Pelodiscus sinensis: one gene and its partners. The protein of the gene in region 2 purifies or fractionates together with the protein of the main gene of each other region. This does not show direct contact. Links are inferred from orthologs where the notes say so. Each region holds a gene or a part of one and is shown on either strand. Other genes may lie near its edges. The genes, in order: CNOT6, CNOT1, OBI1 and TNKS1BP1.

Region 1 (7,919 bases), on a different chromosome or scaffold from region 2:
GCTACTTAACTTTGGAAACCCCAGGGGCCACACTACACGAGTTCTGCAAAAATGCAATATTTACCTGATTTCCACCCATATGACAGCACTTTAAATAAGCAACGAGAGTCCAGGAATTTAACTACTAAAATGCTTATCAACAGAGGACCATTATATTGACTACTTTTTTGTTTTGGCTTCCACCCGTGTTGTCGCATGCTTAGCCCCACATAAACCCAAACTGTGCTGCAGGCCGCAAACAAACAGGCTGCCGGCTGCATATGGCCCATGGACCACATGTTGAGTAGCCCTGATCCAAAATTTACTTTGCTAATTGGTCTCTATTTGAAATGATCAGGGCAAAAATCACTGGATCATTTCCCTATCTATTTTTAATACGTGTGAAAAAATAGCGTCTGTAACTCAGGAGACTTGGTATAATCTATGAACAAGGACAAGGGTAATGGAAATATCAGCTTTCCCACATTGCTCCAGCTATTTACCTATTCTGGAGGAGCAACACCAGAGTGAAAAGGGTTCCATTGTCCATTCATGGTCTTTGAGCTCTACTGAGATCAACAGGTGGGCCAAGTAACAGGGATGTTAAATTTCAACTACTCAGCTAATCGAGTAGTGGGGCTCTTGCTACATTTCAAAAGCAGGAGTGCCGCAGTCAGAACCTGGCACAAGTCCCTGCTCATGCTGTTTCCCCACTGTGCCTCTGCCGCTCCTTCCCCCCAGCACCGGCTCCTGCTCCCCCCCTTGCTGCCTCTCTCTGATAGAGGCAGCAGGGTGGTGGTGGTGGTGAAGAGAAACTAGATTTGCTTATCAGCAGGGCTTGCCAAGCCGCGTTGTTCGGCGTTCTGCACAGATTGTTCTGCGCATGCGCAGATCGCCTGAACCCAGCTCTTCCGGGATGTAATCTACTCACAACGGGCGAGTATATTACAGAGATTGTCAAGCCCTGCTTATCAGGCAGTCGACTAGTCACTCACATCTCTACCAAGTAACACATGTTTTTGCAATGTCAACATTTTTAAGGCAGATATTAGATAATGAACTTTTGGTCATCACCTAACTTTGCAAGATACTGCCTAAATATGAAAGACTCCACACATTATATCCCAGTACCTGTATCAGACCCCAGGTATGCAATCTCCCACAGGCTAAAGAGCTATGAACAACTGACTCCTCCTAGATAAGTAACAATTCTTGGGAAAACCCATTATGTATTTGAAGACTTACTATTCCTTTTGGAAAATGAATTCCAGACAGACGGATACATTCCATTAAGGCCATATTTACTCTAAAAAGTATTAACAACTTAAGTATGTGTGACTATTAATATCTGAAGGGGTAGCTGGTTATCAGAAAACATTTTGAGAAGTGATGTTACATGAGGTGGAGCAAAAAAACCAGCTTTCATATACAGAAGCCTAAAATATACCATGACTAAGTCCAAAATATAGAGCCAAAGAAGGAAATCATTTATTTAGCTCTATTACAAGTGTGAAGATTGCTAAGTCTTTCACCAGGATTACATATGTAATAAGTGTATGGTCATTGTTTTTAAAGAATATCATATGCATTGCTCAGAAGCAAGCAAGGGAACAGTCCCTCCCTTTCTAGTTCTTTTAACATATAATATTGCACAAGAACAATCTTGTTCCTCGTCCACAGAACTACAATTTGCTTTATTTTTTGTCACATGCCTCTACTTCAATTTAGACACCTGAAGGCTTTGTCTTACTAGCTTTCCTAGTTCACACCCAGGCTGTACTTCCAGGATGATGATGATGATGATCTTTTGTTATCTCTTCTGATCAAATGGTGCATAATAAAAATAGCATTTCACTGTCATGACACCAATGTTGGGCCATTTTGATTTCACTACACCTATAGTCACTCAATCTCTCATTTCTGGACAACACCCTCATCCTGCCCGTCACTCAAACCTGTATCCTGTAAAGGCCATGTCTACAGTTACAAGGTTACAGTGGCTGTACTGCTGTAAGAGCACTCATGTAGCCACGTTATGCTGATGGGAGAGAGCTTTCCCATTTAGATAATAAAACCTGCTCAAGAAATGGCAGTAACTATGTTGGTGAGAGAGCATCTCCTGCCAACGTAGTGCTGTGCACATAAGTTCTTATGCCGGCAAAACTTGCGTTGCTCAGGGCTGTGTTTTTCACATTGAGGTGCAACAAAAGTTTTGCCATCATGAGTGTTAGTGTAGATATGGCCTACATATAACAAAACACAACAGATGGCTACAGACTGACAGACGGGAGTACAAAGAAACAGTACAGCAGCAGCCTGACTGATCAAGTTTCTTGCAGACACCATGATAAAGTTTTAAGTAAGGCTTTGAAGAGGGATAATCCTTGTGCTGATGTTTCTCTCAAGCATGAGGTCAGCATGACAGAAAGCACAGAAGATGCTTGTTTGGAAATTTAACACGAGTGATGGAAGCTGGTATCGTAGACCGATTGGAGACGGGCGTTGACATCTCAATAGTGACTACGATTGTAAGTTAGGAGTAGACCATGAAGGGCGTTCAAAGTGAGGATAAATAGCTTATGTTTCATGCAATGGAAAAGTGGGTCCTGTGGAAGGGTCCAAAAAGGTTTGTCAGAAGAAAAAGCTAGGAAAATGATCTTTATGTCAATGCTGAATGGATATGAGTAGGACAAAAGTTGCATTAGTCAAAGTCAGACAGAAGAATGTTTCAGTGACTAAGACTAGATAAGGAGAGCTTGGACAGGAATTTTAGTTGGATGGATAGAAAATGCTGCATCTGAGAGGTATAATGCTGAAAAAACCTGCAAGACTTAGATATCTCCAGTAATGGAGATTCCACAACCTCTGGACTTGATGACCTCTTGAGGTCCCTCCCAGTATTCTATGATTCTATAGCCTGGATATGAGGATCTAGAGCAGGCATGGGGAACCTGTTTTGGGTCAGGGCCACTGACCCACATTAAAATCTGTCGGAGGGGCCGCACACAAGTGAGAAGCAAAAAAATCTCAAACCAAAAAAACGTGGTCCCTGGTTGAGGAATGAGACTCTCTACACTCTCCTTGCACACCAGAGCCTAGTGGGACCCAGACTAGTAGATTTTGTGTGCTCCAACCCCGCGATGAGGCAGCGAGGGGGCTGGAGCGGCAGCATGGGCTCCCCAGTGCTGGGTGAGGGAGGCCCTGAACCTCCGGAGACAGATCCAGGCAAGCCGGAGGCTGCATGCAGCTCCCAAACCTGAGGTTCCCCACCTCTGCTGTATACTATTCTTCCCCGTAGTTGAACAGATAAGTCTATGCTAACTAGTTCCTCTTATTGCTTCCCATCTCTGCAATAAAATTTTCAGATAAATTGCTAATGTTATACATTTCGTTGCAGATAACTCGCTGTTGTTATAGCTCACCTAGAAGCCACCAATGAAAAATCAGCATCATGCTAGCAAATGTATATCCAGGGAGCAAATAGGCCATTTTCCTTGTTGATTTCTTTCTCATACTTCTCATTCTTGTATACAAGAACTTACACACTTCTTTTAAGGTCATTACTTTTTGATAAAATACTTTGTTCCTTATACTGTTCAATATTCTTTCTAGCCCTCATATCAGGAACTTTTTTACAGCCAAGTACTACTTGATCTCCCCATTCCCAGAATGCTAACGTGTTAATAATATTTTCGTTATGTACTTGCTTTTTTGTCCCTTTCTACCAATTATTCAACCACTCGTGCACAGCACCCTCCAACTTCCCCATTAACACCTTCACACCACCTGTTCACCCAACTCCTCAGTGATCCCGCACCTTTTTTTTACCTACTCCAAAACACTCCTACAAACCCCACACGCTATGTCCAAGCTTGTTTTCAACCATACACATTGACCAATGCTGTCCCCTGTCCCACTGCATGCACTACACTGCTACTCAGATCTCACCAATATGCTCCTCCAAACATGCCCTGGGACCCCACGAGCCCCCCGCAGCTACCCCCTCTGAAACCCCCGCGGCCCCCCGGAACCTCATGGGCCCCTCGCGGCCACCCTCCTCCCAAACCCCACGGGCTACCCGCCTCCAGAACACCAAGGGACCTCCGCAGCCACCCCCCCCCCCGCAACCCTACGGGCTCCCCCAAACCTCACGGGCCATACCCCTCCGGAAACCCGAGGCCATCCCCCTCCGGACCCCCCAGGTCCCCCGGACCCCTCCCCACAGCCACCCTCCTCTGTACCCCACAGATCCCCTAGGCCATCCCCCTCCGGACCCCCCAGGTCCCTCTGGACCCCCCCGCAGCCATCTCACCTCCGGACCCCACAGATCCCCGAGGCCCTCCCCCTCCGGACCCCCCAAGTCCCCCAGACCCCCCCCCCGCAGCCACCCTCCTCTGTACCCCACAGATCCCCTAGGCCATCCCCCTCCGGATCCCCCAGGTCCCTCTGGACCCCCCCGCAGCCACCTCCCCTCCGGACCCCACAGATCCCCGAGGCCCTCCCCCTCCGGACCCCCCAAGTTCCCCAGACCCCCCCCCCCCGCAGCCACCCTCCTCTGTACCCCACAGATCCCCTAGGCCATCCCCCTCCGGATCCCCCAGGTCCCTCTGGACCCCCCCGCAGCCACCTCCCCTCCGGACCCCCCCCCCGCAGCCATCTCACCTCCGGACCCCACAGATCCCCGAGGCCATCCCCCTCCGGACCCCCCCGCAGCCATCCCCCCTCCGGACCCCCCAGGGCCCCCGGACCCCCCAGATCCCCGAGGCCCTCCCCCCCCGCGCGGTCCGTTGGGCTGTGGGGACGCTCCGAGCGCGGCCCGGCCAGGCCGCAGAGACGCCGCGCGCGGCGTGCGGTGAGTGTGGGCGGCCCCAGCGCGCGGCGCTGCGGAGGGGCGGGGTGCTGGGGCGGGGGGGGGCGGCCTGCCCGCTGCCGCCATGATGCTTGTTTGCTTTCAATGCGTGTGAGGAGAAGGGGGAGGAGGCGGGGGGGAAGCTGCTCTCCCGTCCGGCCCGCGGCAGGAAACAAAGAGCCAGGCAGGCAGCGGAGAGAGGGCGGCGGGGGGACGGGGATGCTGCAGCCACAGGTACGGGCAGGAGCGCGGACCCCCGGGCTTTACCCTGCGGGGTGGTTCTTGTTGGAGGAGTCTCGCGGCGTATTCCTGCGGGGCGGGGTGTGTGTGGAAAGAGCGAGTATTATTACTCCGAGGGGGGGGGGGGTGATTGGGGGAGGGGAGTACTGCTGCTTTGAGGGGGCGGGTATCACCGCTATGGGGGGAAGAAGTATTACTGGGGGGGGGCACACGGGCGCCCCTGTGTTGGGGGCCAAAGGGGTAGAAGTGCCCTGGGTGGGGGGCAGAGAATGGTGTATTGGTTCCAAGGTGCGGTTGGGTGGGGGCAGATTGCTAGGGAATTTGGGGGGGATTATTGCTGTGGGGGAGGGAGACCTCTTGGTCTGTGGTGGGGTGAATGGGAGTATTGCTCCGGGGCCTGAGAAGTAGTATTGATTTGAGTTGGGGGGGGGGGGGTTAATCCCTTGGAAAAAGCTCTGTGGGGGCTTTGTGGGGGGGGGGGGGAAGCGACGAGTGATTTTGCTCTGAGGAACAGGGGGCTGGATTAATACTCCAGGGGGTGGGGAGTTGAGGCTGGGAAGGGGTATTTCTCGCAGCAGGCCTGAGGGAGGAGAGGGGATGTCATTGTGGAGGGGAAGAAACGGTGGAGAAGCATTATTGCTGGAAGCTGGGGCAGGGAGGCGCTGAAGGAAGGGGGCTTGAGTGGGTGGGTGATATGAGAAACTCTTGAATGAAATGGGGCTTCTTTTCAAGAGGAATTAGACTGGAAGCTTATCCACAGAATAAGAGAGCCCAGAGGCAAAGGGCCTCCTTCCCTCAATAGCTTATTGTACCCCATATTTATTGGCATTTAGAAAGTAATTATATTAGGGTGGTTTTGCAGTGAGAGGAAAGGTGGGGGCTTCTTTCAGAGGAAGTAGGTTTATTCTCGTTTCAAAGGCTTACACGCATTGAGAAAGCAATTAAGAGGCAGTGACAATGGACTTGAAATTAGTATAATGGCATTTGGAAGTTTAAAAGCGTTTTTCCTGTGTAATTGAGTTTAAAATAATTAAACATGAAGACAGAAGGAAATGACATCAGTATGATAATTGACCATCTACATTCAGACCACAATTTTCCATCAGCCTACCCCTCTGCATTGAGAGACTTGAATTCATTTAAAGCTGATGTATTTCTTTTTGTAAGTCTTATTTTGTGAACAAGCAAAATTGGTTTGTAAACAAAATCTGTTTTCTGCTCCGAGAGAAGCCTCCCCTTTCATTTGCTGCTGATAGTCTGAAAACTGAGGCCTAGCTGGCAATAAGGAGGCCACAGCAGCAACTGCTTAGATCTATCTGAAGTAGAAAGGAAGAGTGTTAGAGGGTGATTGTCAATCCTGCTGTCCAATGAAATGACTGGGGAGGGCAGGACTTGTGGTGACATGCAGATAAGTGGTTGGGCCAATGAGACACTGGGATACACACATGTAGGGCGTAAACAATGGGGAACTGGGAAACATACTCCAAAGACAAGTTTATGCAGTGTTGTTATATGAAAAAATGTGTGTATGTCGTTAATCATGGAAATTATAATAATATCCAATTGATAGGGTTACTAAGCTCATGAGCAGGCAATTACTTTTGTAATTGACGGTTTGGAGAATGATTGCTATTGTATTTGTCAGACTCTGAGACAAACATGTAGGAAGTAAGCAGTTGTGAACTAGATGCTAGATCTATTTTTCGCTACACTACATGCTTTCAAATGTGAAGAATTTTAAGTTGCTGTGTTTCCCACTAGTGAGGTTAGCAAACCTGTTACATGCCAATTCCTGTATTTGGCTCAAAATTGAGATTTTTAGAGGTAAGATTTTACATAATCTGATCAATAATGTCTGTAAATTAAAAAAAAAATTCTTGTGAAACTGGCTTCATTGTCCCATCCAATCTTAATATGGGGGGGGGGGGGGGCAGAAAAATGGCTCAAGTTCTTTTGATCTAAAATATATTAGTAATGTAGAGACAAGAATTGCTTGAATATGACACTCTAGGAAGGCAATTGATTTATAACCAGTAATGGTTGTTCAGTTCTTCCTTTGTTTAGTTTCAGGAGGTTATTTTATTTATTTGAATTTCACTGAGTTGAGTATCAGATAAAAAAAAAATCAAAGAATGTAGGAATACCGGTGGTAATTGTCTGGTTTATGTGTGTAGGTTTGCAAGTGTTGATTGGTAATTTTATTGTATCTTGCATTTTTTTCATCCTAGAGCAGGTCTCGTAATTGGGAATTTATCAACATTTCCACTGGGGTAATTTTACAGGATTATCTGCCCTGTGTTCTTCCTGCTGTTTCATCTGGACTCTGGAGTTTGCTGCTAGCAATGAAGCCTTCTGTGGGGGTTTATTCACGCTATTACTGAAATGGAGCCATTCGCATTTGGATTTACGCTTTATTCACTTTCCACTTGAATCGCTTGGATCAGTCCATTTATAAAAAGGAGACTACTATGCATCTTTTTTCTGTTTGCATATTGAAGTTGAACGCTGGGTGCATCCTTGATGTGTACAGGCTGTTTACTTTGCTTGAATGTTAGAGGAAGAACTGAAATATAAAGATAGATGAGACTATAATACTGCATGGGCAGGTAACTACTTTCGGTATTTTATATTATCGGATCTTTTCTTTTTTGAAAAAAAATGTAGTGTTTCCAAGTTTGAAGAAGCCTTGTTAAACTGGGTTCACAGTGGTAAATGTTGAGAAGTAAAAATATTAAGATCTGGATATTCTAGGAGTGAGGAAGAAAAAAAATGATTAGTAAATCCAATGTACTGTTTAAAATGGAGAAAACAGCTTGGAAAACTGGAAGAAATGCCTCCAAAGTTAAAAAAA
Region 2 (7,514 bases):
AAGGGCTGCAGTCAAGGTAGAATCACAGGGGATTATATTAAACACTTAGAATGATTCAAACTGAGACTTGTACATGTGTTTACTCTTGGCAATTGGTGCTTTTCTCTGAGTGTGGATGAGGAGAAACAAAAGTGAAACTGACCTTGTTTCTTGTCCATTTTGATGGGGGGGCCTTAGCAGAGGGTCAGTGTCTGGGTGGCAAACTCTGTAGTGGCAGGACAAGGCTTCTCATTAGAATTTACAAACACACTTTTCTGTTGATCTGTTTTGTAGAACAATAAATGAAATAAAAATCTGGGTTTGTTTTTTAATGCAAGACTTAAATGCTGAGCCTCAGTTGACTCCTCCTCCATACAGGCAGCTTCTCTAAGGGAGACTTGCCCCACAAGCTGGATCTGGGCTGCAGGTTCTCCACCCCCACACCGAAGGTGTTTGCTCATCACTGCCGGATGCTCTCTTGGACTTGTGGGGAGGGGCGGGTGCACTTCTCTCACCTGCCACTCTGTGACTAATAAACCAGGAATTGCTACAGGAGCTGGATCATCTCTGCTGCAGAGCCTCCTCCCTGTTAAGCTGCAGGGATCCTGGCTTGGGTCTCTGTATTTCAGAAGCTGGGGCTGGGTGACGGGTGGGATCGCTTGATGATTCTCCTGTTCATTCCCTCTGGGGTATCGGACCTTGGCCACTGTCAGAAAACAGGGTCCTGGGCTAGATGGACCTTTGGTCTGGCCCAGTCTGGCTGCTCTTGTGCTGGGCCAGGAGTGAAAGACGGGGGGCTGGCTTGTAGAAGCTCCATACTAAGGTGGCAGGTTGACTTACTCTGCCCTTGGTGTAAAGGCTAAAGACTGGAGGCTGCTCTGTTTCTCCTAAAGGGCCGGTATGTTGGTAAAAGCAGCCGGGACTGCGGTGTCCTAGGCCCAGGAGGCAATAAGCGTGATGCATTTCTTCCCTTGGGGCCTCGCGCTGCGGGGGGGGATTGCTCAAATCCTGTGTACAAAGCTGTAACAAACAGGCATGGGTGGTGCTCGGCTGAGCTGGTTGGGGCTAGCGGGGGGTGAGGGGGAGCACGTGCTGTGCTCCCAGGCTGTCATGCTAAGCATTCCCAGGGAAGGGCTGGCTGGCCGCCCGCTTATGGAAAGTCCAGCTCAGAGGCCCCGCTTGGTACCGGCCGGTGTTCCTGGGGCTCAGGGTGTGAGCCAGTGTATTGAAAAGCAGACGCACCTGATTCTCTCTCATCCGGATCCCCTACCTGTAGCCCATAGCGCCAGCACAAGGCAATTCTCCATCCCTCTCAACCCATGCTCCTTGAATTCACATTTCCCCACCCCTCCTTCCTGTGCATGTTCTCTGAGCAGCCTGCTGGGTGGGGATACCTCTGAGGAGCTGACGTCCCAGCTGCATTAGGCACGTGGCCAGCCTGGGTTTTTCAAGAGTGACTTAGACACATAAGTCCTATTGAAAGTCAACAGGGCTTGTGCTCCCAACTCCCTTTGTCATGCTCAAACACACAGCTGCCTCCTGCTGACAGTGGCAGGCCTGGGGTAGTGGTGTGATGAGCACAGCTCCCTACAGACAGATGGCTACTTCTGCTTTCCCTGTGCTGGAGGAGGGGTTGGAAGCTTTTTAAAGTGCATTCGGCAACAGCAGCAACTTGCTGGATGGGGTGGGTGCCTTCCAAGGAGAGGGGGATGCAGGTGTAACACTGGTCACCTGTGGGTGGAATTGAACCTGGGACCTCTGGAGCCCAGCACAGGAGCCTCTACTGCAGCAGTGGACAAAGGGCCCTCTACAGGCCAGATTCGGCCCACCAAGCCAGTGAAGTGGGCCTGCGGCCGCCCTGCTGCCCCCACCATGCTGGGGGTGGGGAACAGGCGAAGTCTTTCGTGTCTTGGCCCCACCCTACCAGGGGCACACAATGGCTAGAGAAACATGCCAGCTGTTTTAAAGCAGCTGGCATGTATCTCTAGACGCTGCACGCTCTTGTGGGGACCAGGAGACTTTGTCTGCTCCCTTGGCCCTGATTGGCTTGGGGAGCGCGTGAGGTCTCCTCCCACTGGGTGCCTAGAGGGAACTGCCAGCTGTTTTAAAACAGCTGACCTTTCTTTCTAGGGGACAGGGGAGGGAAGGGGAAGATTTCCCCCACCCCAGGCCAATCAGCATTTTGGGGGAAAGCACAAGAAGTCTCCTGGCCCCACCCCTTCTGTCCAAGGTTCTGCTCCTTCCAGGGTGGCCTGGGGTCACTTCTGAAATTTCTGAAGTGGCCCCCTTTTAAAAATTATTGCCCTCCCTCCCTCTTCTACTGCACGAGCTAAAAGCTAGCTGTTAGAACAATGAGTCTGCTCTACAGCCTTACCTATCTGTATGGGTCTTGGTGCCACTGGAAAGGATAATGCACTGCACCCAGGAGAGACGTCTTCTAGTAGAGGAAGTGGGTCCCAAGCTTCAGAGACATCCCATTTGAAATCCCAGAGGAGCCCCTATTTGCAGAGGTGATGGATGATGTGGGTTGTTGGGAGGTGGGCTTGAGCCTGTGATCTTAGGGGCTAGGGATTTTACTGGAAGGGCTGCATTGCAATTTGATAGTTCCATGATCCTGAGTAAACTGACCTGGGCTCTGAAACATACTTTTAGTTATTGGTAGCCAGAGGACTCCACCATCACCGACAAAAACAAAGCTATTACTTTCATTTTGTGAAGACATTAGCAAGTGACAGGACACGAACTTGTTCATCATTACTTTTGTATGATTTTTTCCCCCCTATGAAAAATGGTTCATATAATTGGTTATAAGATAGTTATTAATATAATCAAGCTTCTCCTATAAGTTGTTCCATTTCATGGCTATCCTTGCTGGCATTTTGATTACACTATTTGTATATAGGACAATTTTTAACAGGCTTACAAATGCTGGCAGAGTAAATACTAGCCAAAAAAAACCCCCAATAATCATCACAAAAGTGAGCTTTGTTTAGATAAACTATATACAGTAATGTAATAGTCATAGCTATTGAACAGGGTGTTATCCATTACAGAACAAGTGTCCACATCTTGTTTCTAATGGTGTTTTCATAAAATTAAAGCTTTTATTATACATATTTAGCAAGGACATTTCTTAAATATTAGTAAAAATATTGGCTAGATTTTTAAAAAAAATGTGAATATACTTTGTGAGAGTCAATAGCAACAAATATTTACATGTCCCCTATTTTGCTTAGTATGTAATTAGTGGTAATTTTTCGTAACCAGAACCTTTTATATTTTTAAACCATTCCTAGTCTAGAGTTTCAGGGGGTAGCTGTGTTAGTCTGTAACTTTAAAAATGAGTAGACCTGTAGCACCTTAGAGACTAAAGACAATATATCTGTATCATGAGCTTTCGGGGGGCAAAACCCACTTCTTTCAGATGAGATGATTTTGAGATCATCTCGGCTGAAGCAGTGGGTTTTGCCCATGGAAGCGCATTGCTCCAGAGTGGCACCATATTTTGTTTTCCATGCTGGCATTTCCCTAGCTCCAGGCACTGACACACACCCTCACGCCCATGCGCTGCTCCGTGCACTGGTTCTGGATCCAGAGATGCTGTGGCTGGAGGGGGACCAGGCCTGTTTCTGCTATGCACCAGCTGCCAGCCCAAGCCAGGCGGGGCTGCTGCCTGCAGGGATTCTGGTCTCACACTGGTTTGACTTCAGGAGTGACTCCTGCTTTGCGTTGGCGCGGGGCAGGGCGCTGCCTAGCTCAGCAGGTGCCAGGCGCTCCAAGCCTTTGCCATGTGCAGACCAAGAGGGGCTGGCTGGAAGATCATGTGACACTGGGGGAGGGGAGGGGAGAGACTAGAGCAAAGTGGCCTGTACCATTATATAAGCCTCACGGGGGTGTGTGAGAGAACAGGAAAGATGCAAACAACTCCTACCACTACAGAGGTACGGGGGGGGGGAGGGGTGATGGACTGAACCACTGTGGAGGTACAGTGGGGTGGAGAAGCCTGCCCGCATTGTTGTAGCGCAGGTGGACTGTACCATTGGGCTCTCCGCCTACAGAAGGCACATGCCGTGCAACATGGGGTGGCGGGCGGGAGATGTTGCCCCTCACGCTAGGGCTGGGCAGCCACTCCTCTTCCCCAATGACTCCGCTCGCCCTTTGCGGCCTCCTTTACTTCCCCTTCCTCGCCCAGCCGCGCTCCTCTTCCATTGGCCAGACCCGGGAGCGCAGATGCCTTCCCCGAACGCTGATTGGCCACAGCGCCTAGGCGCAGGAGCCCTGACCTTTGATCTGCCGACGGGAGGGAGGAAGGCTTCCTTTTCATTAACCAATCAGCGTCCGGCCTTTGCTTTGGCGCAGAAACGCAACGCTCCCCTTTCTTTCCCGAATGGACGCCGGTCGCTGATTGGGTGGAACCCCCCCCCCAGCGCAGGCGCCTTTGCCGCCTGCCTGAACTGTGATTGGGTGGAATCGCGTACGCAGGGGAGGACGGCCGCGGCCCCGCCCTGCGCGTGGCGTGCCGCGAGGGGACTGGGGAGGGGAAAGGCCGCGACGTGAGCGCGCGACCCCGTCCGCCATTTTGTATTGAAACCAGCAGAGGCGAGAGGCTGAGAGGGGATAAAAGCGCGAGAAGCTGACCGAGGCGCCCGCTCTGGCCCCGCGACCCCCGCCCTGCTGCCTGAGGTGAGCGCTCCGACGGGCCCGGGGAGCGGCTGCGGAGGCCCGGCGCAGCCCTGGGCTTGGGGGCCGCGGGGCCCGGAGGCCAGGCGAGCAGGAACCAACCGGAAGGAGGGGCGCTTGCGCGGTGGGGGCTCTGGGGCGGTGCTGAGGCGCTCGGGCCTAGGCTGGGAGTGGACCCGGGCTCGGGGGCAGTCGGCGGCCTGGGCCTGTCGCGGGGACCCCGCGCGCGTCGGGAGGAGGCGAGCCCCGCCCCCGTCTCGAGTTGGCAGCAGGAGCGGGGGGGCGCGGGTGGGTTTGGGGGCCGGAAGTTCCCGATAGCAGGAGCCCCGCGCCCCAGCCGTGTCCGGGGGCCTGTTTGCGCCGCGCCGCCGCCGCCGCAGGGCTGGGCGGTTCGGGCTGGTCCTGCCGCCCCGTGGGGGGGGGGGGGGGGGCTGTGCTCCCGCTCCCCGTGTCCCTGCCCGGGGGGGAGGCGGGGAAGAGCAGAAACTTCCCCTTTCTCCTGCGCGCTTCTCTGAGGCACCAGGCTCAAAGCGCTTGCTAGCAGGGAGCCCAGGACAACCTGCCTCTTCCCTGTCGGGTGAAGAGGGTTGGACTTGGGCAACCCCTTCCTCTGGAGCTACTTTTGCATCCGTATGAGTAACCGTGGTTTGGAGTGGGTTGGAGCATGCCTTTGAATACTTGTCCCTCAGTGATCGCTTCTAACCAGCAGCTACATTTGTTCTCTTCTTGGTAGAATACATGTTTGCTAAAGGAGGGAATAAAACTAGCTGGCTATTTGGTGGAAATGCAAAATATCGATTGATTATTTTTTTGGTCCCTTGCCTCTTAAAAGTGCCCTATTAAAAAGCAGTTTTATCAAAGACTATATCCTCATTTAAACATACTTGAAACACACAAATGGTGCTTGTTTATAGGTTAGTGTAGTGGTTTTCAACCTGTGGGCTGCTTGCAGCCAATTCAGTGCACAGCTGCAGTTCTCCATATGGCTTCTCAGGGCCATGCAGGTAGAGTATATATGTTGCCTGGATGTGGTCCAGTGTAACTACAGATCCAGCCCACAATAGAGAACAGGTTAAAAATCCCAGTGAAGTAGAATAAGTCTTGAATATTTTAAATGTCACAATATACAAAATGCAGTTTTGGCTTCAAGAAAACTTTTTCTGGGACAAACTAAGTTAAGGATTTAAATAAACTGTTGGGCATTGTAAACAGAGACTTGCATTTGTAGCATTCCCCCCCTTGCATCTGCTTTGTAGAGCTGCTCTTTAACTCTAAAACTTTGATGATCTCTTGAATGGCAAACCTGACATGGATTCTTGGAAAGTCTAGTAAAAGGCAGTCTTGAAGAAAGCCCCACCGTTTATAAGAGTGCTATTATATTGCCTGGGTTGATGAAAAATAAATTCATAAAAATGGAGTACATGTTCTTATAGAAAGTACTGTGAAGGCATGGTCTCTAATTGTGGCTAAGTTCAGAGTACTAAAATATTTAGCTATTGAGCTGAAAGGAAAAAATCTTTCCAAATATTTCCATTAACAGTAATAAGCAGCTAACTAGCATTTGCCTAGCTCAGAACTAGAACACTTAACGCACTGTTGTTTTTAAAAATAGCTTCCTTGAAATGGGTGTTCCTTTCTTGTGTAATAGCCTTGTCTTCCTGACTCTTGAAACTAAAAGGTGACTGCCAGCTAACTTTAACAAATCACAAAAGATTTTGTTCAGCACACAATTGCGAAAGGAGCGAGATGTGATTTACAGTGGCTTTACCTATAATGAATGGATGTAAAAGTTCACTATACCATGACAGTCAAATATGGATTTAGTACATGCAACTTAAAAGTTTAAAAGCCTCCGGTTTTGTCATCTGTTTGGATAGTGCACATGCTTTGTCTGCTCTACTTCAAGGACTCTGTGGTGGAAACCATGAAAAGATAGCAGCAGCTGTCAGATTGTTAAGCAGATAGTGAAATGCAAGGATTTCTGTATATATGGAGGGAATTCTATATACGAAGAATGAATTGTCATAAAAGTAACTTCAGGATGCTGCTTGTTGCCAGGGTAGCAATATTTTGGATTGAATAAGATGAAGGCAAAAACTAGCCCAGATGAGATGCCTTGTAAATAGGAATAGAGAGGTAGCCGCTTTAGTCTGATACTTCTAAAACAAAAGGGAAAAACTATGTAGCACTTTAAAGACTAACAGGATGGTTTAATAGGCGATGTGCTTTCATGGGCCAGACCATGAAAACTCATCACCTATTAAACCATCTTGTTAGTCTTTAAAGTGCTATGTAGTTTTTTCTTTTGTTTTTGTAAATAGGTGGCAGCCTTCTATGGCTGTGCAGCAATGTACTTTCTGGTCCCACTCCTGCATCTTGAGTTGGTATTGTCCTACACTCCGTCTCCCTATAAATATGGCTCTCTCAGCCTGACCCACATCCTGTTGCCAGACAACTCCATCTTTCTTTCTGGAGAGAGCATTGTTCTTGATCATTCTTCTAGTCAGTGTTTACTTTAAAATTGTATTTACTCATTCCAATCCAGATATTAGTTTCCCAGTAATGTGACTAAATTGTCATGCATGTGGCTTATGCAGTGCATTTTTTCTTGCCTTAAATGCTTAAGCAGTAAGTGTTTTGTAGTTAACTTAGCTTTGAAGCATATTTTCAGTTTCTTCCTTAACAGTCTTTTGTAGCACTAACAGGGAGGATTGGGCAATATGACCATATTCCAAACTAGTTTAGTAATTTTGCTCCTCCATGTTTCTTATGTAGTATCTTACGGAATTTATATTCCTGAAGTGGCCTCACATTTTTTGGGCTCAGATAAATCTCTAACCTCCACATTGGAGGAG
Region 3 (7,288 bases), on a different chromosome or scaffold from region 2:
CTTTGACTTCCTTTACTCTTCGAGAAATGAGTTGAAGTAAGAAGTCCTCCAGTTCGACATTATTTCAAAATAATGGCTTGCTGTGTAGATGCACACTCTTATTATTTCAGAAAAGTTAGATGTCTGCAAGTCACCAGGGCCTGATGAAGTGCATCCTAGAATACTCAAGGAGCTGATAGAGGAGGTATCTGAGCCTTTAGCTATCATCTTTGGAAAATCATGGAAGATAGGAGAGATTCCAGAAGACTGGAAAAGGGGAAATATAGAGCCTATCTATAAAAAGGGAAATAAGAACAACCCAGGAAACTACAGACCAGTAAGTTTAACTTCTGTGCCAGGAAAAATAATGGAGCAAGTAATTAAGGAAATCATCTGTAAACACTTGGAAGACAATAAGGTGATAGGGAACAGCCAGCATATATTTGTAAAGAACAAATCATGTCAAACAAATCTGATATGTTTCTTTGATAGGACAACGAGTCTTGTGCATAAGGGAGAAGCAGTGGACATGGGATACCTAGACTTTAGTAAGGCATTTGATACAGTCTCACATGATATTCTTATCAATAAAATAGGCAAATACAGTTTAGATGGGGCTACCATAAGGTGGGTGCATAATTGGCTGGATAACCGTTCTCAGAGAATAGTTATTAATGGTTCACAATCCTGCTGGAAAGGTATAAAAAGTGGGGTTCTGCAGGGGTCTGTTTTGGAACTGGTTCTGTTCAATATCTTCATCAACGATTTAAATATTGACATAGAGATTACGCTTATTAAGTTTGCAGATCATATGATGCTGGGAGGGGTTGCAACTGCTTTGGAGGACAGGGTCACAATTCAAAATGATCTGGACAAATTGGAAAAATGGTCTGAGATAAACAGGACGAAGTTTAATAAGGACAAATGCAAAGTGCTCCACTTAGGAAGGAACAATCAGTTTCACACATACAGAATGGGAAGTGACTGTCTAGGAAGGAGTATGGCAGAAAGGGGTTTAGGGGTTATAGTGGACCACAAACTAAATATGAGTCAACAGTGTGATGCTGTTGCAAAAAAAGCAAACATGATTCTAGGATGCATTAACGGGTGTGTTGTGAGCAAGACATGAGAAGTCATTCTTCTGTTCAATTCTGTGCTGATTGGGCCTCAGTTGGGCTACATCTAGACTGGCATGATTTTCTGCAAATGCTTTTAATGGAAAAGTTTTCCATTAAAATCATTTGCGGAAAAGAGCGTCTAGATTGGCATGGACGCTTTTCCGCAAAAGCACTTTTTGTGGAAAAGCGTCCAAGTCAATCTAGACACGCTTTTGCGCAAAAAAGCCCCGATTGCCATTTTTGCAATCGGGGCTTTTTTGCACAAAACAAATCTGAGCTGTCTACACTGGCCCTTTTGCACAAAAGCTTTGCGCAAAAGGACTTTTGCCCGAACGGGAGCAGCATAGTATTTCCGCAAGAAGCACTGATTTCAGATAGTAGGAAGTCAGTGTTCTTGCAGAAATTCAAGTGGCCAGTGTAGACAGCTGGCAAGTTTTTCCGCAAAAGCAATTGCTTTTGCGGAAAAACTTGCCAGTCTAGACGCATCCTTGGAGTATATCTCCAGTTCTGGGTACCACATTTCAAGAAAGATGTGGAGAAATTGGAAAAGGTCCAGAGAAGAGCAACCAGAATAAGTAAAGGTCTAGAGAACATGACCTATGAAGGAAGACTGAAAGAACTGGGCTTGTTTAGTTTGGAAAAGAGAAGATTGAGAGAGGACATGATAGCAGTTTTCAGGTTTCTAAAAGGGTGTCACAAGGAAAAGGGAAAGAAATTGTTCTTCCTGGCCTCTGAGGATAGAACAAGAAGCAATGGAGGTTTAGGTTGGACATTAGCAAAACGTTCTTAACTGTCAGGGTGGTTAAACACTGGAATAAATTTTCTAGGGAGGTTGTGGAATCTCTATCTCTGGAGATATTTAAGAGTAGGTTAGATAAATATCTATCAGGGATGGTCTAGATAGTACTAGGTCCTGCCATGAGGGCAGGGGACTGGACTTGATGACCTTTCGAGGTCCCTTCCGGTCGTAGTATTCTATGATTCTAACATAAGTTATTCCAAAATAATGCTGCTGCATAAACGTACCCTTAGTTTTTAAAAGTGCCACAGGACTCCTCATTGTTTTTGAAGATACACGCTATCACAGCTTCCCATCAGAGACTTATTTTGGCTGTTACACTTAAAGCTGGTTTAATTGTAAAAATAATCTTTAGGTTGGCATAGTCTGTGTTATGATGATTATCAGAGACTTTCCCTTTTCCCCCCCAGGTCTTGGGTGTTCATGCCAGGGATAGCAGCAGTGTATTCTCCTAGAAGACAGCAACCTGCCTCAGTTAGTTATAATTAGAGATAAGCTTACTCCAAAAAAAACCCTCACTTCTCAATAGCTGGGGAAAGTTTACATATAGATATGAAATTTATGGCTTGGCATATATATCTAGTAATGGGCCCAAAAAAGAACCCAAATCCAAGCAACCCTACTGCTGGAGGAAGTTGAGATTTTGTTCTGAACTTTGTTTCATAGGTCATTCTTCCTCTTTTGCAGAGTTGCTCCTACACTTTTTCTGGGAGGGAATCTGTATTTTGGAGATTGCGGGAAATATCTCTGAGTCCAGCTGTGCTGCACTTGAAGTAGAAACTGGCAGAGGAGGAATGTTGCTCTAGGCTACCCTTCTGTTCCTCTGATCCAGAAGCTGGCTGAGAGATGATTCATCCCCAAATGGAATTTAGAAGAGCCTAAGATTATTTCACCTTAATTTAGAGCATCCTGAAGTATGCTGGCATTAACAGTCCCATACACACCCTTAGATACCAAGGATCACCAGAGCACATGAAGCCCTGGCCACATTGCTGCTGCTCTTCGAAGCACACATCTTTTATTAGAGTGTGGACCCCAAATGGATAGTTTAGAACAGAGGTCTCCAATCTTTTTAAGCACAAGATCACTTTTTGAATTTAAGTTAGTCCAGGATCTACCTCAAAACCAAGTACGGTACCCCTGCTCCACCCCTTCACCGAGGTCCCACCCTCCTCACTCTGTGAAAATGGGGTACAGGGAAGGGGGACAGTGTGACATCAGTACTCCCCTGCCTCTGTGTCCCTAAATCTGCACAACAAGCAGGAGGCTCCCAGGAGGCAGCTCTGGGCAGAAGCAGCTGGACTGTGGGAGGAGGGGCAACTGAAGGGCAGGCACTTGATAGCCTCTCAGCCAAATCAGTCAGGATCACTTGTCAGAGGCTCCAAGATCTACTGGTAGATCCTGATCTACTGGCTGGTGACCACTGGTTTAGAACCACCTGTGTTGACTCTGTGACACCTGGGGATTCTCTTTGGCCAGGAAACTTCCCTATTAAAGAAGCTTTCAAGGGAGCACCCCACTGAGCATTGCAAAATAACCACATACATGTGTGTGGGGGGGGGGGGGATATCAAGAATCTGGCCCTGTTCATTTCTCTAAGGTCTAGTCTTGCATACACATATAGTAGTCATTACTGTTTACTAGTTTAAGGTCTGTTCTACACACAATATTTGTACCAGTATTCTATTGGGGGGGGGGGGGTGTCTTTATCAAAAAAGCTATACCAATACAAATTATAGTGTGGATGCAATTACAAAGGTGCCATATTCTAGTAGAACTTATTTCCCTTTCTGATGGGAATAGCTATACCAGCATCAAAAACCTTTATATTAATAGCTACACTGGTGTAAAGCATCTGTATTGCACACATAAGGATCGGTGAGGAGTGTAAGAAGAGAACCTGTACAAGTTTAATTTAACTAATCTTTTGTGTGTACACAAACTCTAAATTACCCCACTGATTAGTCTTGGTAATATTTGTCAGATCAGATCCTTAAACTGTAAACCCTTCAGGGCAGGGATCATGTCCTCTTTTGTACCTTTCACAAAGCAGAGCAATCCCTGAGCAATTAATATTGATAACGAAAACAAAACAATAGTTGTTTAATACTATTATTACACTAATAATAGCAATAACAAAAAAGCATTGAATAACGATAGGGTGAAATGGGTCCTGTGCTACATTGCAACACTGTTCATTGGCTACAATCTTCATAGTCTTCTTGATCTTGGTTGTTCCACCTTCTGAGTTTTATGGAAATGAGGGGAAGGAACCGTTTGGAAAAGTTCATTACTTCAGCTCACCTCAAATAACAGGTTAAAACCAGGCACTTTAGAGCTCACCACAGCAGAGTTCTGAGAGTGGGCCAGGAATGCGGTATGTACTTGGGAGGGCGGAAACTTCTCCTTCTCACTACCCTTCTGTGGGATTAGAAAGAGACTGGTGCCTGGCTCAATGTGTCTAATGCTCTGACTTTCTATACAGGCCTTGGCCAGGGGGCCAAGATACTGAGGGACTCCTGCACAGACAAAGCAAACATGCTTAAAAAACAATAAAGAGAAATGGATCCTCCCTAAGGGAAAGGAGAACAATGATCAGTGAATGCTGCTACGTTAACAGGTGGGACCTGCCTACAGCTTCCTAGCCCAATATACCAGCCCTAGTTTAAAGCTGCAGGAAGGGAGCTAACCCTCGGGACGGCAGCAACATGCAGCTGTGTGCGCGCAGAAGGCCCGAGTCCCCTACTCCGCCTCCCGGCCTCCTGCAGGGGAACATTTCAAAAGCGCGATTTCGGTTTCCTATTTTGCGTTGAGGATTGGACTCTTTGGCTTGCCGTACGCAGAGTAGAGCGTGGAGGGCTGCCGCTTGCTGTTACCGCTGGTGGAACTTCCGCGCTCGCGGGATTCGAAACGCCACAATGGCTCAGAACGTTCAGAATGTAACATTGTCTCTGACGCTGCCCATCACCTGCCACATTTGCCTGGGAAAGGTAATGGAGCTGCTGCTGCTACTGCTACTAAGCAGAGCGAGCGGGGGTAAGAGGAGCCGGCTTGTACCTCCTCCCGCGAATGTGCACGGGGGCTGGAGTGGGGAGGTTCATGGGGCGGAGGGGGGGTTGCTGCTCTAAGAAGCCTGGCAAGTGCAGCCATGATTAGGGACTGGGATTATGTGCCTGGATTTAGTGTTGTCCTTTTAAACAGGCTGTAGCTGTTAAAGTGGCGCCGGGGAAAGAGAGAGAAAAGTTGGGGATGGGTGATCAATGCAAGGCCAGGGGAAGGACCCACGCTCGGTGGTGATTGCCGAGCTGGGATCGTGACCAGTGGTGTTTTACTGCCAGCAAGTTTTATTGCCATATTTCGGATTATGGGAAACGTGCGATGCGCTCCTTAAAAGAAATCTCTCCAGCGTTTCGGGTGAGTGACCCCCAGAGGCTTTATTTCCCCCCTCCCCTTTATCCGTTGTTTCCGGATAAAGAGGCTTTTTTTCCTGCATGCTTATTGAGGTACTAGGACACTTTCGAGTGGTGACTAGTAATGTGTTCGTTGAGGCTCGGTAGGAACTCTGTGCTAGCGAATGGCTGAACAAACATTTCAAATGCTGGGTGTGGGACAGAGTAGATCAGACAATATGAAGCCAAATTCTAGTCCATGCAGCAGAAAATAGTTCCATTTTCCTAACTCAAGTTTTCTTGAGACATAATTTCTTCTGTTGGAGGCTGGGGAAAGCTACCAAAAGCTGGTATTTCTTCAAGAACCCATCTTTTCAAATTCCTTTTCTTTTCTGTCTTTTTCTCCCTTTTCCCTTCTCCCCCTCCACAACCCAATAGATTCTGTGAATAGAGACGACCACTAGGAAATAGCCTTTGTGCTAAGGACTCTGACACTTGTTCGAATTGACAGTGAGGTTTGGGGATAGGATTTCCAAGGGATCAGGAGATGCCTGACATACAAAGTAGATACAGCATGGGGCAGTAGTCTCCAACCTTTGGAAGCCAAAGATAATTTTTGGGGGGGATTAAGGGTAACCTGGATATACCCTGCCCCTTCTCCAAGCCCTAACCATTCTCCATTTTTCTAATGCTTGCTTTTTCCCCACTCTCACTCACTTTTACCAGATTGGGGTTTGGGAGGGATTGCAGGCTCTAGCCTGGAAAAGAGGGAACTTGGGGTACAGGAGTGGGTAATTGAGTGCAGGAGGGGGCTCTGGACAGGGGCAAAGTGGGGGGGAGGTAGGGGAGGGGCTATGGGGTTTCTGTCAGTCTGGAGGAGGGCTGAGGGTTGGGTTGTGGCCTCCTACCAGGCAGCACCCAGTTGCCAGCTCAGTGAGACTAAAGAAGGTTCACTGACTATCCCAGGCCCATGCTGCTCCCACAATCAGTGGAACTGGAATAGGTTTTGAGTGGGGGTGCTTAACTGCACCCCTCACCATGCTCTAGACCTGGGCCGGCAGCCAGGTAGGATCCCAGTGCTGGCAGTGGAGCCCCTGGGTGTGTGGCTGGACAGGACTGTCGGACCAGCAGCTGGGTGGGATCCTAGGCTTGTATGGCGACATACACTGCTACACCAGTAGTGGAGCTCCTGGGCCGGCAACAGGACCAGTGGGCAGGGCTCCTGCATGCAGGACCAGCGGTCATGACCCTGGGGCCAGCAGTGGAGCCCTGGGGCCTGTAGCCAAGTGGGATCCCAGGCACACAGAGAAGCCACTAGACAGCAGCTGGCCTGGTGGCTGGGACACTGGGTGGCCAAGATGCAGAGCTGGGACTTGAGATGCCAAACATGGGGGTTCTGCAGCACTCCCTGTGCTATTACTTTCTGTGTCCAGCCTTTTCCTGGTATAATGTGCCTCTGTGTCCTCTAGAGGAGGGGAGCAGGGAGCACATGATACTGTGTGCTGCCCCTTTCTGCATACAACATCCTCTCACCTCCCATTGGCCACAATTTCCTGTTTCTGGCCGATGGATGCTGCAAGAAGTAGTTCTTGCAGGCAGGATGAGTGCCAAGACATGCTGTGCATGCACATATGAGGGGCTGCATTGGATACTTCTGGGAACAGGCCAGCAGCATGTGCAGGAAAGAAGCCTGCCTTATTAGTAATCTAGCTCCACCATCGTAGATTGCAATCAACTGGAGACTCCCTAGGATCTACCAGTCAATCACGATTGACCAGTTAGTGACCATTGGCATGGGAGATGACCATACTCCAGCGGCTTGCAGTTTAATGTCTCAATTCTGGCCTAGGGGAGAGAGAGAGTAGTTCATTGACAGTGTGGCTATATTTACTGGGAGATCAGCATTGTGGTGATTGATCCCTTGGCGGTCGATATAGGGGGTCTAATGAAGACCCAATATATCAACCACTGATTGCTCTCTTGTTGGCTGCGGAATTCCACTT
Region 4 (7,156 bases), on a different chromosome or scaffold from region 2:
CACCTTTTCACAGAGTCATAGGACTTAGAAGGGTCTACAGCGGTGTTCCCTATATAAGCCATGTGCTTGTGTGGCCACTCAAGACAGAGTCCCAACCGATTAGCCAAGTGCCCACAGCTAGGCGTTGTGTTTCTATTGGTGGTGCACATTCACACATGCCTCTGTGCACAGAAAATTATTCTGCACATGAATGGAAAAGATTAGAGGGAACATTGGTCTAGGGTGATCCTCTGTAAGAGGGGCCATAGGACGAGGCTGAGAATAGGACCAACCACATAGATCGTGTCTACAGCCGATCACGGTCCCAAAGGAGAAGTCCAAGAATAGGGAGCCATGGTTGGGGTTCTGCGTAGGTGCCAGAAGGTGAATGGCAGCTTCTGGCCATGCTGGGACATGGAGAAGGGAACAATCATCAAGGCAAGAGGCGATCTTGGGGGAGGAGCCTCAGTAGAGGTGGAGCTCACAGACAACATAACAAGCAAAGGAGACTGAGGCCCTGTCCACACTACAGGCGTCACAGCGAAGATGCCGTAGCTTTGTTGCTGTAGCATACACACGGGCTACAGCGACTGATGGGGAGGTTCCATATTTGTGGCCACAGCACCGTGGCCGAGGGAAGCATTTGCCTGCCCACCTAGCCATGACTACACTGGGACTATTCACACCGACGAGTGCAGAAAGTGTGCCGGAGTAAGGCTAGGTCTGCACGACACACTGACTTCAGAACAGCTACGTCAGTTAGGGGTGTGAACCCCCCACTGAGCGGGACATAATTACACCAACCTAGCCCTCCGGGTAGAGTGCACGGAAGGAGAGCTGCTCGGATCCACATCGCTCCCAACCTCCCTCCCGTTGGCCTAGAGCATCTGCACTGCAGCACAGCACAGAGGTTTTAAGTGGAGTCCAGGCTGGGAGATGGAGGGCAGCTCAGGCACGAGGAGCCCTAAGTTGCAAGCAGCAAGCAAGCTGAAGCAGAGGAGGGAATACCCAAGAGTTGCCAGGCCTCTGAGGCAGGACTTCCACCTCATGTTCAAGCCAAGAGCTGTCTTAGGACAGACAGAGGGAGGGAGCAGGGAGGAGTCTAAAGGGACATGCAGCTAGTCATGGTCACAGCTAAAGGTGGCACGTAGGAGACCAAGGGCTTATCTATACCACAGAATTCAGTCAACTTCAATTAGGTTGACCTACAACCTCCACAGCGATTGAATCAGCTGTTGGTGTCTATGCTACCTTCCTTACTGGTGGTGCGCATCTCCCCTAGGAGCTCTTGCAGGGCACCTTGTGAACTAATACCAGCCGTGAAACTGACAAGAATGTTAGTTTCACTGCTGGTTGAACCCCTACTGAGAAAATGAGCCACCAGCTCAGAGCTAGGGCCTTTTCCCCCCCACCCTCTTCCCTGCAGGTGTTCCTATCCCCCTCCCTGCTGCCAGCACCTCCCCCCACAGCTGTTACACTCTGCAAAATTTGTGATTTCTTCCTGCTCCTCCCCATGCCTCCAAACCCCCAAGCCTCCTTCCCCACCACCTGCAGCCTGGTCAGCATCCACCCTGCAGAGCTCCATCACCCCTACACCCCCTGTTCTTACCCTTCACCCTGCCCGTGGGACCCCCAAACACTTTTTTTAAAAAATTTGGGTAGGGGAGGAGGCTCCAGCTGTCAGCTCCAGGCAATAGAAGTAATGCAGCATACTAACTACATCGACCTAAGCGCTAGGCCTCTTGTAAAGGTGGAGATATTAGGTCGGTGTAGCGGAGGCTTTGTCAGTGGGAACCCTGACACTGACAGAATGTGATCAACTCTGTGGAGCAGACCAGGCCCAAGCCTGGGGAAGGCAAAGGGACAAGTGCAAGAGGGCCCCATTCGGCTCAAGGGAACAGTGCAGCGTAATGGACAGGGCAAGGCCCTTGCTTGCAGGGACTCTGGCACCTGCAAATCTAGGGACCAGCCCAGCTAAGCGCTCACTCACCTGGAGCTAGAATCCAGGAGAGTGAAAGGCAAAGTTGAGCCTTCGCCTTCCTCCTCCAGCAGGAAGGAGAATCTGATTAGCTACGTAGCCAGGGGATAACCAAGCCAGGGTGAGGAAAGGGGAGAGAGGGGGAGCAGGAGAGGAGAAGGGATGGAGGTGCAGGGGGTGGGTGGTCAGGAAAGAGGGCACAGGGGTCGATAGGGCATCAAGCGGAGGGCCAGGTGGCTGAGGGTGGCACAGTGACAAGACTGGCCGCTCCCAGGGACACAGCCTCACACAGCTCTTCGGAGGCGATTCTAGGAGCTGGTCCAGGGCCCGGCTTTGGCAAGGGCCCAAGGGAAGGGTCAGCGAGGGGAGGGATCAGTGTGAATCCTCCAGGGCAGGCAGAGGCCCTGGCCACAGCCCGGAGCAGCCCCTGGGTGCGGCTGGAGACAAGAGAATCTAGTATGGGGCACCCCCAAGACACCGCACTGCGACCCCCCCCCTCCGTGACACACTGCGGCCAGCAGGGGGACCCCATAGGCTGCCCCTCGCCCACCCTTTTCCCTCCCTGCTGCCAGCGCCTCCCCCCCCCCCCCGCAGCTCCCCCGCCCCACAGCTGTTATCACAAACTTTGCTGAGCGTTCCTTTCTGCGACTCCCCACGTCTCCAAACCCCCAAGCCCCCTTCTCCCCCCATCTGCAGCCCGGCCAGCATCCGCCCCGCAGAGCCGCATCGCCCCTGCACCCCAACCCCCCCGTTCCTCCCCGTCACCCCGCCCACGGGACCCCCAAACAGCCCGCACACGCCTCCGCAGCCCCGGGCACGCTCAGCACCCACCCCCCAAGGCAGAAGCCCCGCGCCCCGCACACGCCCCCTCCCCGGGTCCCGGCGGCTCCTCACCGGGCTCCGCGCCGCGCGGCACCGCCCCGACCCCCCCCCCCCCGCGCATATTCATGAGAAGCAAAACAAGGGCGGGGCGGTCCTCCGCCCTCTGCTGCATATTCATGAGTTATGCAAATCACCCGCGCTGGACACCGCCCGTTCCCACGTGTCACCCTGCTGAAGCCATCGACCCATGGGGCAGGATGTGCCGTGGAGGGAGGGGTTAGAGAGGCCCCGCTCCTGCCCCCCACCCCCCAGCTGTGACTGGAATACCCGCCCCTCGATCATTACAGCCTGCCCTTTTCATTCCTCCTCCCCCTCCCGCCCGAACCGGCCTCTGCTTGCCAGGACCCCGAGGTGGGGAGGGCGCGCCTGGCCCCAGGCTCACATGTGGGGCGTGTCTGTGTTCAACCGAGCTGGTAACATGCCAGGCACTTCCATGCCTGCCTGCCTGCCCCCCCCCCCCCCCCGTGCCCAGGCTGGGAGGGGTAACTCCAGAGTCAGTAGCCCCCCTGGGAATTAAAATCACTGCAGCCCTCATTGGGCAGCTCCAGCGACATCTTCATTATTCACCCAGCCTTGTCCCCTGTGCCCCTAAAACTCTCCAGTGCAGCCTGGCTGTAAGAGGGGCATGCTTTTAATGCTGGACTGGCAGGTCCAGAGGCAGGAATCTCCAAACCCCTTGCAGGCAGCCCACTTTGTAAGTCTGTTCCCTAATTAACCTCTCCTGCAATCACCAGGGCCATAGCTGGGACAGAGGATGTCTGTCCATATCTGCTAAACCCCTTTTCTGTTTCACCCATATTCAGGCATGTCCAGAGACTCAGGCACTAGTAGGCTATTGGTCACACACATTCCTACTTTCCTCTCACTCAGTGTGAGTAAATAGATAAAGATTTAAACTATTGGTTCTCGGGACCTCACACAGAGGCCTTAGAACTGGGAAAGCCATTTTCCAAGCCTGCGTACTTAACTAGGGAGATTACAGGCTTTGCCGGCAGCAAGGGTAAAGAGGGGAGTGGAGGTGTGTACACACACACGCACACAGCTTGTCCAAACAACAAGCAGGACCTGACTGAAAGGTTGCAGGTTCTGCAAAACAACAGTTTAAAACGTAAACCCTATTCGACCAATTCATGTCCTGGGGGGATCTCCAACCATCTAAGGTTTTGTTGCAACCAGCAAATTATTTTTATTCAAATCTGCTGGTTTTCAGTTACACTGCATAGAGAATCCCTATAGGCCAGAGATAAAAAGTCTCTCTGGGGGCACCTGTAGGTTAGTCTGTAATTTTAAAAACCTCAGAGAGGAACAAAAACATATTTGTAGTACTATGAGCTTTCATCTCATCTGAAGGGGGTTGTGCTCACAAAAGCTCATGATACTAGCTATATATTTGTTTGCCTCTTAGGTGCCACAGGACTACTTGGCTATGTCTAGACTGGCGGGTTCTTGCACAAGAACATCTTGCACAGGAGCTCCTGCACAAGAACACGTCCACGTGTTTTTGCGCAAGAGCATCCATGGCAGTGTGGATGCTGTCTTGCGCAAGAAAGCTCTGATGGCCATTTTAGGGCTTTCTTGCGCAAGAAACCCCTGCCGCACATCCACACTGCCCTTTTGCACAAGAGCTCTTGCACAAGAGGGCTTACACTTATTCGAAAAAGCGTAGCTCTTGTGCAAGAAGCCCTCTCTTCCCACGCTTCACTGTAAAACTTCTTGCGCAAGAGCAGGCGGGCCAGGTGGACGCACTGCAGGTTCTTGCGCAAGAACCCGCCAGTGTAGACATAGCCCAGCTGTTTAAAAGTTTTCACAGGCCATAGACTTTAGTATGAATCAGGGCATTTAAGTGTTTCATACTCAGTAGTATGCAGTGTTGATTTTAAAGCCAACTCTTTTCCATACATAATAAACTTAAACAACAAATAGCACGGCAGCACTTTAAAGACTAACAAAACATGTAGATGGCATCACGAGCTTTTGTGGGTACAGCCCACTTCTTCAGATGAAGACAGGTTGGATTGAAGTCCTGGACTGTTAGGCTATGTCTACACTGGTGGGTTCTTGCACAAGAACGGAGGTTCTTGCGCACTGACCACACGGCCCCCTAACTCTTGCACAAGCTTTACAGTTAAGCATAGGAAGAGAGGGCTGCTTGTGCAACAGCTACGCTCTTTTCTAACAAGTGTAAGCGCTCTTGCACAAGCGTTCTTGCACAAGAGAGCAGTGTGGACGTGCAGCAGGAGTTTCTTGCACAAGAAAGCCCTATGGCTAAAATGGCCGTCAGAGCTTTCCGATGCAAGAGTGTCCGCACTGCCATGGATACTCTTGCGCAAAAGCACATGGCTGTGTGGACGTGTTCTTGCACAAGAGGTTCTTCCACAAGAACCTGCCAGTGTAGACATAGCTGTGGAGTCCCCAAGGACCAAAGCTGAGCATCCCTGCCTTGAGGAAGAACCTAACACAGCACCTGGGAAGTCTCACTGTAAATTTCATCCCAAAGGGCAGCCAACTCTAGTCATCTCTGCATGTTGCCCTGCCAGGCAGCCACACCTCCTGAAAGCTCCCAGTTGCACGTGGGCAGCTGCTTACATGGCCCAGCTCCCAGGGCAAAGCAGTGTAGGCCCAGCTGCGGTGGAATCGCAGGACAAATGCAGGAAGGGCAGAGGCTGTCGGGTCTACCCTACGCTCCAGCCGGATGTGACAGTAGAGGATTAAAGGCACAGCCGCTGTGGCCCGAGGACTGGCCCAGTCTCTGGCGGCTTAATGCTTTGGTCTGATTTTGGGCATTGGATGTAGGGGCTGTCACATCCCGGTGGTCAGAGGTCCCTTCTGGTTTTCGATTCCACGCCCTTGCTGGGCCCGGCCCTAGTGCCGCACACGGTGCGCGAAGAGAGGCACTGCCGTGGCTGCCTGCAGTCTGCCTTCCCATTTACTCCTGGCAGCTGAGCACTTCTGGTAAATAACCCACAGAAAGTAGGCCAAAGGAAATGGGACCCCGGAGGATTTCCCGCGAGGGCCAGCTTCCATCTGCACAATTAACCTGCTCCAGCCTTGGTTATGAAAGCCACGGCCCCTGGGGCGCATTCCTCCCCCTCCCAAGGCCAACAGGGCTCTCTGCCCTCTCGGCGCTGCGGGCTGATTCAATTAGAGCGAGGCAGAGTGCACGGGCTGACGCACAGGTGACTGGAAGTGGGGGGCAGAGACACTTTAATGGAGCACTGAGGTCCGGTAATAGGCTCTGATCACATCAGGCCTCCTGCCCCCAGCTTGGCTTAGTTCTCCTGGCAGCAAGGGCCGCAATGGAGACGAATGAGCCGCCGCTCGCGCTCCCTTCCCCCACCCTCAGGGCAGTGCGAGCTGGGCAGAGCTCTAGGCCCAGAAGGGACAGCGATGAGGCTCTGAGCCCCCCACGCTGCCCCCAGGGCAGGAGGTAAGGTGCAGGAGCGGGCTGGGGGGTTTGGCCAGGAGGCAGAGGGGAAGTGCTCCGCTCCAGGACCCAGCATCCACTGGGAGGTATGGGGCAGGCTCCCCCACATAAAGCCATCTTAGGAACAACCCTCCCTGCCGGCTAAGCCTGTTAATGGCCCAGGCCACAGACAGGGGAGAAGAGGGAGCCCCTAACACTTGACTAAACCTCATTGCTATCGACCGCCTCCCTCCTTAGGCAGCTCCCACAGGTGTCCGATGGCCTTTAATGCCGTTAAGGCCACAGCTTACTGGAATGAAGTGAGATAAGGCACTGGCCCAAATTCAGCCCCACCCCACCGCAGGAGCGCTCCTGTGGATGGCAGCCAGCAATGCGGCCGTGGGGAGGAGACGACCACCCCGTGGGGCTTCGCCTGCTCCCTCTGCACTGGGAGACCCGGCCATCTGTCCCCCAGCCACACTCAAGACAGAAGCTCCACCCAAAGTCGCTTGGTTTTTATTCCACCCAATTGCCACGTGAACAGACGAGAAATACAAAAATAAACAGAACATAAAAAATGCTGAGGGAGCCCGGCTACAGGCCAGGGGACAGACCCCGCCCAGCCGGCTCCCCGCAGCACGCTGGGAGGGCCCCCTGCTAGGGCCTAGTGGGGCTCCGGCAGCTTGGAGGTGCACCCCCTTCCCCTGCTTTCTAGCACCCCGTCGTTCTCCAGAGTTCAGCACAAGCCCCGCGAGGGAGAAGGGGGCAAGCAAGGGCCAGAAGCAGGGCTGGGTCCAGTCAATGGGGCAGCTGTGTCGTCCTTCCAGCCCCGCCCCTGGCAGAAGGGATAGGGGGAGGGGAGTCTAGTTCTCACCTCAGCGACCTATGACCTGTGCCATCCGGAACAGGGCAGG

The links.
Region 1: the proteins of CNOT1 (region 2) and CNOT6 purify together in Homo sapiens (affinity purification with mass spectrometry; 5 studies listed by BioGRID and IntAct, with this or other methods). This does not show direct contact. The link is inferred for Pelodiscus sinensis from reciprocal best matches to the Homo sapiens genes CNOT1 and CNOT6.
Region 3: the proteins of CNOT1 (region 2) and OBI1 purify together in Homo sapiens (affinity purification with mass spectrometry; 3 studies listed by BioGRID and IntAct, with this or other methods). This does not show direct contact. The link is inferred for Pelodiscus sinensis from reciprocal best matches to the Homo sapiens genes CNOT1 and OBI1.
Region 4: the proteins of CNOT1 (region 2) and TNKS1BP1 purify together in Homo sapiens (affinity purification with mass spectrometry; 5 studies listed by BioGRID and IntAct, with this or other methods). This does not show direct contact. The link is inferred for Pelodiscus sinensis from reciprocal best matches to the Homo sapiens genes CNOT1 and TNKS1BP1.

The regions. Positions count from the first base shown.
Region 1 is NC_134727.1:33,387,909-33,395,827, forward strand, and holds the start of CNOT6 (CCR4-NOT transcription complex subunit 6), read left to right. Parts: upstream 1-4,909; 5' UTR 4,910-5,062; intron 5,063-7,296; exon of another isoform or gene 7,297-7,674; intron 7,675-7,919. UniProt on the Homo sapiens protein: Poly(A) nuclease with 3'-5' RNase activity.
Region 2 is NC_134722.1:46,505,944-46,513,457, reverse strand, and holds the start of CNOT1 (CCR4-NOT transcription complex subunit 1), read left to right. Parts: upstream 1-4,503; 5' UTR 4,504-4,662; intron 4,663-7,514.
Region 3 is NC_134711.1:265,221,319-265,228,606, forward strand, and holds the start of OBI1 (ORC ubiquitin ligase 1), read left to right. Parts: upstream 1-4,272; 5' UTR 4,273-4,814; coding exon 4,815-4,886; intron 4,887-5,043; exon of another isoform or gene 5,044-5,274; coding exon of another isoform or gene 5,275-5,310; intron 5,311-7,288. UniProt on the Homo sapiens protein: E3 ubiquitin ligase essential for DNA replication origin activation during S phase.
Region 4 is NC_134714.1:128,191,921-128,199,076, forward strand, and holds the start of TNKS1BP1 (182 kDa tankyrase-1-binding protein), read right to left. Parts: upstream 3,009-7,156; 5' UTR 2,852-3,008; intron 1-2,851.